3 linked regions of the Arabidopsis thaliana genome follow. The protein of the gene in region 3 interacts with the protein of the main gene of each other region in a pairwise test. Each region holds a gene or a part of one and is shown on either strand. Other genes may lie near its edges.

The links. The genes of interacting proteins can lie anywhere in the genome.
Region 1: the proteins of SHL1 (region 3) and AP3 interact in a two-hybrid assay, tested with the Arabidopsis thaliana proteins (one large-scale study listed by BioGRID).
Region 2: the proteins of SHL1 (region 3) and NAC071 interact in a two-hybrid assay, tested with the Arabidopsis thaliana proteins (one large-scale study listed by BioGRID).

What each region holds. Positions count from the first base shown.
Region 1 is NC_003074.8:20,118,595-20,123,223, forward strand, and holds AP3 (K-box region and MADS-box transcription factor family protein), read right to left. Parts: upstream 2,721-4,629; 5' UTR 2,494-2,720; coding exon 2,306-2,493; intron 2,205-2,305; coding exon 2,138-2,204; intron 2,055-2,137; coding exon 1,993-2,054; intron 1,909-1,992; coding exon 1,809-1,908; intron 1,637-1,808; coding exon 1,595-1,636; intron 1,319-1,594; coding exon 1,274-1,318; intron 1,029-1,273; coding exon 834-1,028; 3' UTR 546-833; downstream 1-545. Other genes in the region: WRI1 (Integrase-type DNA-binding superfamily protein), read left to right, coding at 1-5; emb1967 (Forkhead-associated (FHA) domain-containing protein), read right to left, coding at 3,704-3,784, 3,863-3,991, 4,114-4,200, 4,304-4,452. UniProt on the Arabidopsis thaliana protein: Probable transcription factor involved in the genetic control of flower development. Is required for normal development of petals and stamens in the wild-type flower.
Region 2 is NC_003075.7:9,978,158-9,982,142, forward strand, and holds NAC071 (NAC domain containing protein 71), read right to left. Parts: upstream 2,399-3,985; 5' UTR 1,882-2,398; coding exon 1,725-1,881; intron 1,635-1,724; coding exon 1,345-1,634; intron 1,242-1,344; coding exon 1,017-1,241; intron 927-1,016; coding exon 720-926; coding exon of another isoform or gene 693-719; 3' UTR 546-692; downstream 1-545. UniProt on the Arabidopsis thaliana protein: Transcription factor involved in tissue reunion of wounded inflorescence stems. Required for the division of pith cells in the reunion process, which is dependent on polar-transported auxin and the wound-inducible hormones ethylene and jasmonate.
Region 3 is NC_003075.7:18,217,105-18,221,943, forward strand, and holds SHL1 (PHD finger family protein / bromo-adjacent homology (BAH) domain-containing protein), read right to left. Parts: upstream 3,221-4,839; 5' UTR 3,031-3,220; coding exon 2,958-3,030; intron 2,876-2,957; coding exon 2,530-2,875; intron 2,301-2,529; coding exon 2,232-2,300; intron 1,650-2,231; coding exon 1,517-1,649; intron 1,260-1,516; coding exon 1,194-1,259; 3' UTR 525-1,193; downstream 1-524. Other genes in the region: RD19 (Papain family cysteine protease), read right to left, coding at 1-222. UniProt on the Arabidopsis thaliana protein: Chromatin remodeling factor that binds to methylated histone (e.g. H3K4me2/3) to prevent their acetylation (e.g. H3K9K14Ac), likely by recruiting histone deacetylase (HDAC) complexes, and thus regulate the transcription of target genes.

The sequences.
Region 1 (4,629 bases), on a different chromosome or scaffold from region 3:
AATAATCAATGTCTTTGCCCCTTTTCTAATGCTCCAAGTTCAGATAAGAAATAAAAACTAAATGAACCGTAAAACACAAAGGAGGCTAAGATGTCTATGAATTTCTCTGGCATATGTGCAATAAGGAAGAGCTTCAAGGAATCTTGAACTAAGAGAAGGCTTCAAAGGCTAGACCTCTTCAAGTTCCCCTGTCTTATTATTGACCGGACTATGAAGTTTCTAGGAAGGTTATATAGGCAAAAGTTTATTCCTAACTCTTAATTCATAATTCTGATTGCGATGATTTTTGGTTTGCTAGATAGTTTAGTAAAAGAGCCTTACCATCCAAACTTGTGATCAATATTGGTAACCGTGAACGTCTTCATTAGGGTGAATATTTGAATATCTTTGTTTTCGGGTTACACATAACAACCCGAAAAGTTGTTGCATTTGGCTCGGAATACATCTTGTATAAAAATTTGTCTTTACTTTTTAGTTTTGTAAATCAATAGTATGATTGGTAGTCTATTCGTTTTGTGGAAACAACTTCAATTTGTATTTCATCAGACAATATATATGCATTCAAGTAGAAAATCAAATCGAGTAAATTTGTAGCATAATTAAGTAGAGTGGTCAATATAATAATACGATACATGATAAAAGTCTTGAAAACATTCCACACACAATAAGCCTAAGCACTACTGATCACACAATCCATATTTCTTTAGGCTTTAAAATACATAACTAAGAAACATGACAGTTTAAGGTTTTAGCAACACCATGCCTTATGTTTTAAGTAGTTACTAAATAATTAGATAGACAATGATGGCACCAGCAAACCTTTTAGCCTTTAATTATTCAAGAAGATGGAAGGTAATGATGTCAGAGGCAGAGGGTGCATGAAGGCCATGGTTGGGGTAATAGTGGTGATGGTTCTGGTGGAAACGAAGAGCGTAAGCACGTGACCCTTCGATTTGGTATCCAAGAACTGAGTCGTAATCTCCTCCATTGTCTACTAGTCCATAGTGAGGATCTTCAGCTCTTAGTTCCTAATTCACCAAAACATGTTTTAAGCCATATTCCACATAACTAAAACCAATATTATTAATTCGAAATGACATGACATTTGATATATGATTTAACTAGGAGATATTTCGATAAGAGAATCACAAGAAAACATAAGAGTGACTGATCAATCTACACTACATTTCTAGATATCTTTTTAACTGGCTCCGTATTCCATGAATGTATTATGCCTAAACCAACATTTGAGAAAAACAGAAAGAGATATTACCAGCTCATGTATGAGATTCTTTTGTATGTCTTGTTGACTTTTGTTCTGCAATTGTGTAAACCACAAGAGAAATGATGAAGAAATATTCCCTCCCAAAAAAATTATGAAGATATATACCCAAGTTATTATGACATCACTATATAGTATACTTGGTATTTTCTTTATCCATTAGCTTAAACACACACACACACACACAAATATAATTGTCCAAGAAAAGTGTTATCAACAGTTTTAGTAAGTTGATAAATTCAATTGACACAAAATTGTTGAGACAAATAAATATGATAAAATGGAAAAGTGAGTGGACATAGAAGATGTGACCTTTTTCTTGGTGGTCTCGATCTGATTCCCAAGAGATTTGAACTGTACAGTACAATACAATTAACATATATTATCCAACAGTAAACAAAATGTTTCTTTTTCTAAAACATATATACAACAATAAAATTCATTTTTTAATAATTCAATTCAAAACTGAAGCTTGGGTATATAGGATTAATTGAAACCCTAGGTAAGGGAAAAGTATGAAGAGAACCTTGCGCTCGCGAACGAGTTTGAAAGTGTTTTCCATTTCATCCTCAAGACGACGCAGCTCCTGAATGTCAAGCTCGTCCAAACACTCACCTAGCCTCTGCCTACAATTTTAAAAATATGTATATTTTCGTACTCATTTTTTTTAGTAAAACTCCTCATCTAAGAGAAGAGAGAGAAACAAATACTTGATCTGAGTCCGGAGATTTCTATTTGTCTCCAACAGTTTCCTCTTGGTTTCTTGCATTCGCTGCAGCAAAACGCATCAAGAATTTAACCAACCAGCGAAACACATATCAAGAAGAAGAAGAAAGATCTAAGAAGGAAAAAAACCTCATATTGAGTGGCCCAAACATCGACATCAGAAATAGTTTGGTACAGATCTACGATCTCCTTCGTTCTATAACCAACAAAATCACCAAAAAAGTAGTGGTTAATTATAAGAAAACAAAGCAACTCAATTAGCTTAATTTAAGAGTGGTGTTTAGAGAGATGGTGTACGTGGTGTTAGGGCTGATATACTCATGAAGCTTGTTGGAGCTAGAGAACATGATAATCGAAACCCTAGCATCACACAAAACCGTGAGCTCATGTGCTTTCTTGAATAAACCATTTCTTCTCTTTGAATACGTCACTTGTCTGTTTGTCTGGTTCTCTATCCTCTTGATCTGGATCTTCCCTCTCGCCATATTCTTCTCTCTTTGTTTAATCTTTTTGTTGAAGAGATTTGGTGGAGAGGACAAGAGATATAATGAGAAGAAAGAAGTGAAATAGAAAGAGAGAGATGGAGTTGAAGAAGTAAAGGGTCCACTTGAGTTACTAAAAATGGAAAGTATTGCCTAATCCATGAAAGGTAAGTTCAGAAGTTGATGAAAACTAAGTGATAAATTTTCCATTTATGTAAACTGATTTTTTTAATTACAAGACACTGTTTAAATCAACGGACATCGATGGTTGTATAATTACAAGACACTGCTTAAATCAATTGTCACTTGGTAAAAGAGGGGGACCAAAGCTAAAAACTTGGTTTGCTTTTCGTCAATTTATTAACGGAGCTCCGTTAGCTTCTACTTTGTTTTTGTTTAGACGGTGACAAACTTAACGGCGTTTGTAAACGTCAAATCAGTGCAGGTGGATTTGGTTGGCTTTTTACACTTACCCTAAAGTAAACAAAAGTGTTTAGGTGTGAACAAGTTTTTATATTGGTGTTAAAAGCCAATATTCTACTTTTGTCTGTTAATTTGGGAAATAAGAAGAAAGAGATATATATGTTTGGATTAATCGTCACTTCCATCTAACTCAAATCTTTTATATGTTTCCCCAAATGATTACAATAATTTCCCGGATTTGCCTTTAACTAAAGATCCTTGGAAAATAGAATATTACCCCTAGGGTTTAAGAAGGAATCACAAGTTAGGAGAAAAGTCTTTGTTTGTAGATAATGTTTGGTCCTAACTCCAAACAGTCCATCAAATCAGATATATGATGAAACTCTTTTTTCTTTTTGCTTCGACCAGTTAGTGTTGTTTCAAAACTAAGTTGGCCACAGTTACTGTTGTTTTGAAACTAACATGGATTGATCTTAGTTCATCATCAATTTTCAAGCAATGGAAATCAGTGAGTGAGTCACGAAAATGGAAACCTATCCTTTATACTGATAGGATATCCAAAGAACTTGTGTATCAACTTCACAAGAACAATCATTCTTCGCTTAAAACACAAATTCAGATACAAGAGACTTGTATTTTCATTTCAACGCCTTAAAACAGGGTCAACTATGCATGATGCGGAACTAAAGATGTATTAAAAGATCTACAAGACGTGTTCCTATGGCTAAGGTACATTACACAAGAGATGCATCATTCATCTACACAAACAACACGCACTCTTGATCTGGTCTCAGTTCACTTTCCCTCTTCTCTTCAGGTACTCTTGCATGCAACTTTGGTTTGTTTCAAATATAAAAGGCATTCCCCGTATCTGCGCGCACATATATCGGGTTTAAGTACGGACCTAGAAGCGTAAGTAATGATCATAAAAGAGTATCCCGGATCAAACCTCAACTAGACAATCGGATTTGAGGATTAAACTCTGTCCAGGATCTACTTCCTTCTCATTTACTGAGATTGAATACTTCCCCAGGTTTTTTATATGAAACGAACCGTCATCACCCAGCCGTATGATCGCCTGCATTCAGTAACCCAAAAAGGAAAAAAACATACACAACAACCATTACAGATCCTGGGCTGCTGCTTCTCATACAACTTAAAGACCTAAAATACAAATAGAAGTATCTACTATTGACCGACCTGTCGTCGAGATATTTTGCTACCCCGCTTTTCTCTTCCCAAATCAATGTCCACAGCGAGGTCTTCTGTTGATCTACCCACCAAAACCTATGTTAAGAAAAAAGAACCCCGATATCAACAAGTGCTACTATAATTCTTAAGAAGCTTATCAAATCATACAAGGAATATTAAACGAATAAGATAATATTACCTCAGGCTTCTTGATATAGTGTTTTGAATATCTGCCATATAAAACAGCGAATGCACCACGGGAAGCAATGGCTCTTTGCATATATGAATGAGCAGCCTGCTCAAGTCTTATGATTGTTCTTTTCATGTCTTGGCTCTGATACTTGGAGACTGCAAGTGAAAACATTTTAGGGATTTACAAACAAGCCTTAAACCTCTTCTAACATCTCATACGCTACCCATAGAAAAGGTTTCCCACATCACTGCAGCATGTAATAACTTTTAGGAGCCAAATGCCGAAATACATTCCTATTCACATACTAAAAGCTTTCTTTTCCCAAAAATGTA
Region 2 (3,985 bases), 8.2 Mb from region 3:
TATCACTGAGCTATGGACCCAATTTGATATTGTTCACATTTTGTAAATCATATAGACTATATATCAAAAGTATTTCGTAGATCATTTTCAAGAGGAAGAAATATTCTTATAAATTTTAAAAGAATGAAATGTAGAAAGCTCATGGAAAAAAGAATTTTGTTTGAAAGGTCTCTAACAATTGAGAAATGCAAGCTTTTGGGATTTTCATACATCTGTAAACAAATTGCTGCGTCACATAGTTTTTGATTTTAATCTCTGCATATTTATGGAATTTTGTTTACATAAACTTTTGAAATGTCAAAATGGTCCCGAAACTATTGCTTTTATAGACAAAATATTGGATTTTTAATGCAAATGATTGTTATGACTTCTACATAAGTTGCTTTATATAATATAAGTTTGGTCCAATTAATGATTGAGAAGAACATGATTGATTCTCTTTGCATATATCATATCAAAGGTATCGGAACATTAAAATAAGACTCTATAATAACGTAAATCTTCATACGAAAAAACTTTAAATAAGGAATTTATTATACTCATTCCTTATATTAGCAAACAATATATATAAAACTAAAATAAAAACCAAGAGTAAGATAATTAAATTCTCAAAAGAAAATGATAGACGTTCACAACTAGTTCTTCTTCTTCTTCCAAGTTCCAAGACACCAACGTTAAAAGGCGTTTTTGTCCTAAGAACGAACCAACATTTCTTGTAGCTAAAAAAGGTTTGAGTAGTCAAATGAACCGGTTTGGTCATTTTCATAATTTGTCCAATAACCGGTTTGCATCGACTGATCAATGTCCTGGTCCACATTGAAATAACAAGAGCTCACCGGAAATTCCACGTGGTGGTTTGCCGTGGTGACCGGAAAATGGTAGTTGGGAAAGCACTCAGAAGCAACCTCCTTAATCTGAGGATAATCCTATATTTAAAATCACAAAACCAAAAACACATATCAGACCACTACTGTCTATACAAAAACTATTTTGGTTTAGATAATAGATGTAGGTACCTTTGACGAATCAAGGATGAAATCAGGAGAAATCCAAATGCTTGAAGAGTCGTTTGTAGTAGAAGAAGGCTTGAACGATTGAATCTGCGACGCTTCATCGCGACAAGGAGAGGTCGCGAGGCTAGAGTAACAAGAACCAATGTCTTGTTCGTTTTTATTTTTCAAACTTTTCGAATTTTTCTTCAGTTCATTCTTCTTAACTACGCGACATAACGCAAAAGCTCCCTAAAATTCAAACATATATATGGTTTTTAGGCTTCGTTCCATTAGTTCATAAAAATGAATATTATGAAGTTGGATCAAATGAAACGAACTCTAATTTTCTTACCTTGAAATTTGGTGATTTTTGTGAATGATCATCAATATCGCATAGACGATATTCATGCATAAACCAATTAGTTCTGTCGCCTAATGGGGCACGACCTTCATAGAAAACTAAGGTTTTTCGGTATCCAGCTATAACATGCGATGATTTACAAGTGATTTTCCGGTCTTTACCAGTTGCTTTCCAATAACCCGCTTTTGTAGCCCTATTGGTTCGAGAACCGTTTGCATATTTTTTGTCTCTTGGACAGAAAAAGAACCATTCCAAATCTCTATTTGGAAGGAAAGATTTACCTAAAATTCAAAGATAAAATCAAACAAATTTAGTTTTATTTAAATATAAATTTATGGATAAAAATCTAATTGTTTTCCTTTTCAAATTACCTGGCAACTCCCAAGGATCAAATTTGTATAAGTCGATAACAGGAATGACTTCAAGCTCAATCTCGAGACCTTCTATTTTTCTACTCAAGTAGTAGCCTATGAGCTCTTCATCAGTTGGATGAAATCTAAATCCTGGAGGCAAACATGAACTCCCCATTTGCAAAATTCACACTTGTAGCTTGCGACACAAGAGAGTTGTCGAAAGCTAATATTTAACTAAATATCTATTGACTATTTGGAAAATCTAAAAATATAAACTTTTTTCGACATTCAATTTGTTTTTGAAAATAAGTTGCAACTCACTTTGATTGCATCCTTTTTGTGACAATATCATTGTCTGAAAGAGATTGTATGTTTACAAAAAAAAAAACGAATTATCCAAAATTCTCTTTTTAAAAATATATCTAACACCTAAGAAAAAAAATAGAAACAAACTTAAGGTACAATTCAGAAATAACGAAGAGCAGTTGGTGGAAGAGCTAATTGCTGCGGGTCAAAGAGTCTGACTGAGGAAAAGGGTTCTCTGACTTATTAGCTATACAAGACCAAAAAAAAAAAAAAGTTATTAGTGAGTATTGATTAGGAGAGTGATTAAGATCGGAGAGAAGAAGAGAAGGTTGGTAGAGTGTTGAATGGTTGTGGGGTGAATGATATTTATAGCACAAAGGTTGCGAAACTTTGTGAGGCAAATTTAATCATAGCTTAAAATATGTTGATGAATTTTTCTGTAGAATAAACAAACAGTATTATAATAGTCAGTGCCGTTAATATTCAGAAGAAAAAATAACTCGACACACCGAAAGCGGATAAAGACATTGCTTGTCTTAAGAGTTCCCAAAATTCAAAAAGAAAGTGGACCTACCTGGTCTCTAAAGTTAGACTTGTTCACACTTCACACATCAATGATTCAATAATACTATCACCTATAATTAATCAAAACTTATTTTTCTATTTTTTAATTTCATAAGACGTCGTTTCGTTTTGTAAAACGATATGTTTATAGGTGTGTTGGCAAATTAGTCACTTTTGAAAACATAATTATGGAGTTGGGCAAGTTACTATTTACACTTGACAAAACATGTAACTCACTTTGGGCGTGTAATAGACGAGCGTGAAATAGAAGTTTGGGGTGGGGTAAGTGATGTGTTTTGAAATTACCGAACTATCCTTTTGACAGAGAAGAAAGATAAAAGTGAAATATTCTTTTTTTTTTTATTTCTTTTTAATAACCCCTCCAATTTAATAATTGAAATACTTATCAATATAAATTTATTTTCTAAACTAATTCATATACATAAAAATCTATGTATTTTTCTTTATAATTTGATATGCATTTTGTTAATATTTTTAATATATTACAGACATTTTATCAGTAGTCGGTACACTTAATTATGTGTACAGACTTTATTTTGTACGTTGCATTAGCTGTACAGAGTATATAATTGTATGGAGTATACAATTATCAGTAGTCACTTTTCACTGTTGATTCGTACACTTAGACCTGTACAATATTTTTAGTGTATATATATATATATAAATATACACAACGTACACTTACATCTGTACACTAAAAAATGTTGTACAGATCTAAGTGTACGAATCAAACAGTTAAAAGTGACTACTTTGCAAATTGTGAATAGTAAAATGACTATTTTTCCAATTATGGCTGGACGATTTCAATTTGTACTTATTAAATAAGTTGTATAAATAAAAATCTGTACACATAATTAACTGTACTGACTACTAATAAAAATGTTTATATAATATATTTAAAATTATTAACAAAATGCATATCAAATTATAGAGAAAAAATATAGATTTTTATGTATCTGAATTAATTTAGAAAATAAATTTACATTGATAAGCATTTCAATTATTAGATTGAAGAGGTTATTAAAAAATAAATAAATATATATATATATATATATATATATATATATATATATATATATATATATAAAGAAATACAAAGAATGTGAGTATGAGGAGAGAGAAATGTTGAATCTAAAAGCACAAATCCCAATTGCTTTCAACGACATTGGAGAAGAAGAAGATTAGTGGCATATTTGTAAATAATAGAGTTGGTATGGGGTATATTTGATTTTGTCTGTAATAGGGTCAAAGGTTAGTGACTAAAAATCCAATTATAAATAGTAATTTGCCCAATTCCATAATTAAGTTTAAATATCTGACTACTTTACAACTTAACCCTATGTTTATTTGCATGTCATTCTTGTATATCGGATTAGTAAACCTTGGTT
Region 3 (4,839 bases):
AACCGAGAATCTATAGTCATGCTCCTCGTTGGAAGCGTAGACCTTCCCGAACTTCCGCTTGAAGAGAGAAAAGTGATCCTCTGAGGTCAAAACCTGAGGCTCGGCTCCACCAACCACCTGACGGATCACGAGATCATCGCCGTCGTTGACATCAGACGACGAAACCGAGACGATAAAGAAAGACAAAACGAAAACGGAGAAATAAAGCTTAAGACGATCCATTTGATTTGCAATTAGATTGAAGGAAGCAGAGAAGGATTAATATAGATAGAACCCTCAGTAGATTATCACACGCAACGTGAATGTATAGGTGTATGTATAGGTCTCTGCTACACGTCTTTTTCCCTTTGGAGATTAGCTTTCGGTTTCTTTTAAGATAATTTTAAAAGATATTGTTGTCATCATTATTATAGTCGGAGAAAAAATCGGAAGATATTTATGGTATTTATTATTATTTTAAGATGCCTTATCCAAGGGGAAAGGAGAGAGTTAACCAATGATGTAGAACCACGTGTTAATCATTGAATGGGTATGGAGTAATGGAATGGGATAGGTTCAACTTGTTGTTAGCAGTGCCGTGTTGTCTTGGATAATATTAATTCTCTCTTTTCTAAAAACTTTAAAAAATAGTTCTATCTTCCTCTTTTTCTGAGACAAATGTAGAAGCTCATGATCGGTAGTTGCCATGTTTCTCTTCTCTGATTCATTTATTTATGTTCCCAGTGTACTAAAAATAATTTGTAATGTAATTTTATTGATTTTTAGTGTACCTCCTGGTTTTTGGCTGTACTTTGAACCAAATTATGAAGACACGATGATCAAATATGTCTCTTTGAATATGCGTTTTAGAATTAATAAAGAATGAAAAACTAATAAAGAATGAAGGGTTTCTAGAGTTCACAATGAAAACAAACAAATAAGGAACCAACACTCTCTTTGTTTGTTTGTTTGTTTTGTTTTCTTATTATAAACAAACCATTTTACCCAAATTTTATATGTGACAACTAAAGGAGATGAGAAACCACCATACGCTATACATATAAATTATACAACAATCAAGCCAACAAACCTAAACCCTCATTTTTTAAGAAAGAAAAAACTAGAGAGGGAAAGAAAACAAAACCACCTTTGTAGATTACACGATTGATACTCAGACTCACCAACCAGATATCTATAGCCTTTACAAGTTTATGTTAACCTGGTCGCTTAGTGTGTTTGTTCTTCGATTTAGTTACCTCCAGGCTGCGCTTTCCATTCACCTGTTAGTTAGGACAAAACATTTCACAAGGTTGTCTTTGACCTTAATGACACATATACTTTGGGTTTATGTGTTTATTCTGCCTTAAGTTGGTATATTTTATCAGTCCAAGAGCTTACAATTGTTGGCAAGGCTAGCTTTATATGTGGAACGAACGGTCAACTTAAATACCTTAAATTTATTCAAGCCTATTTGCAACGGGTTTGACCATCCCTCAAAAACTAAAGATATTTTCTGAAATGAGAAATAGAGAAATACCTTAGCATCTCTGTTATTGGAAGTTGAATTAGAGTTGTGCAAATTCTGCTGTTGTGGGGAACACTCTTCGCAGTAGAAGTTATCTGGCTTTTTAGCTTCCTCTATTGTTGTTCCTATACAAGAAGGATGAAACCTGAGCCAATGTTAGTTTGCTGTAACATCAAAGGCAACTGACAAAGACATTCGAAACAAAAAACCTTAATCCTCTCTTTACAAAAAAAAAAGTAAAAAGATTAAGCTTAACACTTAACAGTTCCAACTTCCAAGATCAAACGATCACTATTTGTTTCAGTATGACTTCATTTACGTTACTTGTGTCATATAGCAAGCTAACATGGGTGAAAGACCCAAGGCACAAACTAAGAAGCTGCAGAAAAACCCAAACCTTAACAGCGACTCAATCAGTAACGTGTAAGAAAATTTGAAAATCCGCAACATATACATTAGAATGTTAATCACAGATATTACAAACGTTCAGACTAGAGTATCAGCTTATGTTCCTATTCATCTGCAGTTTCCACAATATCAGATAAGACAAAACATGAACATGAGTAAGGAAGAGCATCACCGAAGTAAAGCATGACAAAAGCATTCATCTCAAGCAACCTCAATAGCATATCAACTAGGACCTCATGGATACACGAAAAACATACGAGCAATTCCAGATTGTGACTCAAGAAGATTAAAACAGAGTTTCAAATAAGTGAACACTTACCACTCAGAACACTCCTCGCATTGCACCATCAAGTCATCTGGGTTATACGGCATCTCACACTTGCAGAACCTGCAAACAGAAAAAATCAATTTAAACTCAATTGATTACTTCTCTTTGCAAAAACAACTTCATGAAACCAATTTAGATGACAAATCAATGAATTATTAACAATCAATGCCTACACTAAAGCAACACAATCTAATTTCCAAAAAAGCCTCAATTCAACCGATAATAGTTCCATCATTCAATCAGTATTTTCTTCTCGAATAAAGTAACAGAGAGTCGTAGGAACACATACACGGTGACTCTGTCAGGATCAAACGCGCCGGTAGTGGAATTGTACTCGAAACGACAGAAGAAGTCGTCGTTTCCAACAGAGTCAAGTTTGGTGTAGCTACTGAAACTGTGAACCTTACACTTTCCTTCAATCGTATCGGCGCTTTGAAAATCGAAGTGGTCAGAGAGAAAAACCTCCTTGGCTCCATGGAATTGTCTCCTCCCTCCGATAGATTCCTCAGGGCGATAATACCACCTCACACGAACTTTCGCGTGCGATCCACGCGCGTCCGTCTCGATCGCCTCTACCCTCGCTACGTACGACGGTTTTCCAGGCTCCGACGACCGCATCAACACAGCATCTCCCTCTTTTTAACCACAAAACAACATCGAACGATTCACTTTCAATATCCACGAATTTCAAATTGAGGATGAACAAGTCAGACGTACCTTGAATACTCTTGTTGATGTGTTTGAGTTTATAGGACTTGAGCTGCTTCCTTGGAGCTTTTTGCTTGGGCATCTGAAACTGAAAGGTGAGTAATGGACGATGATGAAGCTCAAGGTTTTTGCGAACAGTTTTTCTCAATGAATACAGTCAAGAATCATCAATCGCATGTCTCGCGGAGTACGGTAAGAACAAGTCATGAGGATCTCAGGAGCGTATGATTGGGTGTACAATGGCAGGATCGTGAATATAGAGGAAAGAAAGGGAGAAAATGGGTAAATAGAATGTCAGATAGCCAATTGACCACGTCAGCTTTTAAGTGGAAGCGCGTGTGTGATACGCGCCTCTAGGCCGCTCCCTTTTGTCGTGAATCATGTAAAATTAGCCACGTAAGCAATTACTCATTATGACTTGTCCTGACTTTGTCTTTGTGTGTTGCATGTTTTCAGATAAATAGGAAATGCTAAGGAATATTTTAAGAACCTTTCAATTCTATATTTATTCACTTATTATTCAATTCTATGCGTACGTATGATTACATTCGAAAGGATTTCCAACATTTTTGTCCCAATAAGCAAATTGGAACAAACACATCCAAATCTACATAATTTGCGCAAGAAAAAAAGATAACCACAAAAAAAAGACATAAAAACAGTAAAGAAAATCAAAAATTGGATATGAATGACGCCCCCACACACTGAACTGAAGTTTGTGTTTTCAGTGTTGGGTTGAGAATAAAAACCAAAGGAGCTACTAAATAAATTGAGAAAGTGTAAGCTTCTTTTTTCCTAAGCAACACAAGGTGAGGAACAGTGGGTGCTACTAGAGACCCTTCGACAAGGGTAGTTTGAGAAATTCACATTGCTGTTAATAGCTGCAGAAAATGAAGATGAAGATGATTGCTTGTTCTTCTTCTTCCTCTTCTTGTAAGCCTCATCATCATCATCGTCATCAAAAGTTTGGGTTGGTTTCTTCAGATCCTCAAGGCATTTTACATCTGAGATACATATGAATGATCTCGCTTTTCCTGAATAGTACCTTGATAATCCTCTCCTATTTTACAACCATTCACAAAATCCAAAATTAGATAGTAATCCGGATTTCCATAACTTAAACAAACAATCATAATCAATGAAATCCTTTTTCAGGATTTTACTTTTTGGGAAGGTTGTTTCTTAGCTCTCCCATATCAAAAGCCAACCCACTTATGTTTTCCATGATAATAGATATAAGCGAGGTAACAAAAACAAAATAAAACAATAATTTGGGTCTCTTTGGCTTTTGTGGGAAAATTTAAGCTATTCATTTCTATATATACACATAAGAAGAGAAAAGGAAAGAGAACTCATTTGCTTAATTGAAGGGAATGGTTTCTATTTCTGGGTTTATGTTTTATTTTACTTTCATGGTTCTCTTACTTTTTGCAGAATCTGTGACTGACCCTAATCTTTTCTCACCTATACTTCCTCTCCTACAAACACTTGTGAAGAGTTTGATATCCAAACATTTACGATTGTGTATGTTTACATATACACAATATTGCAAGGTTTCTACAATGATTAGATGGAAAAATTAATGGCTTTCCCTGATTAGAACCAAACTAACCCATCTAAAGAAGGAAATGGTGTCTATGATTATTAACTAACAGAGGTCGTAAACCAAACACTAAAATTCCATTCAATGAATCAAAGCTTGAATCCAATATATAACAACACACAAACCATTGAGTTCCTTTTCCTTAATATTACTAATTCAGGTTCAAATGTGACAGCTTTAACTAGAGTTTACACTAGACAACAAAGTACGAGAATAGGTTACCCTTTTTTTCCAAAGACTATGGGAGAACGAACACATTATTCCCCAGTTAATGTTTAGGTACTTTCT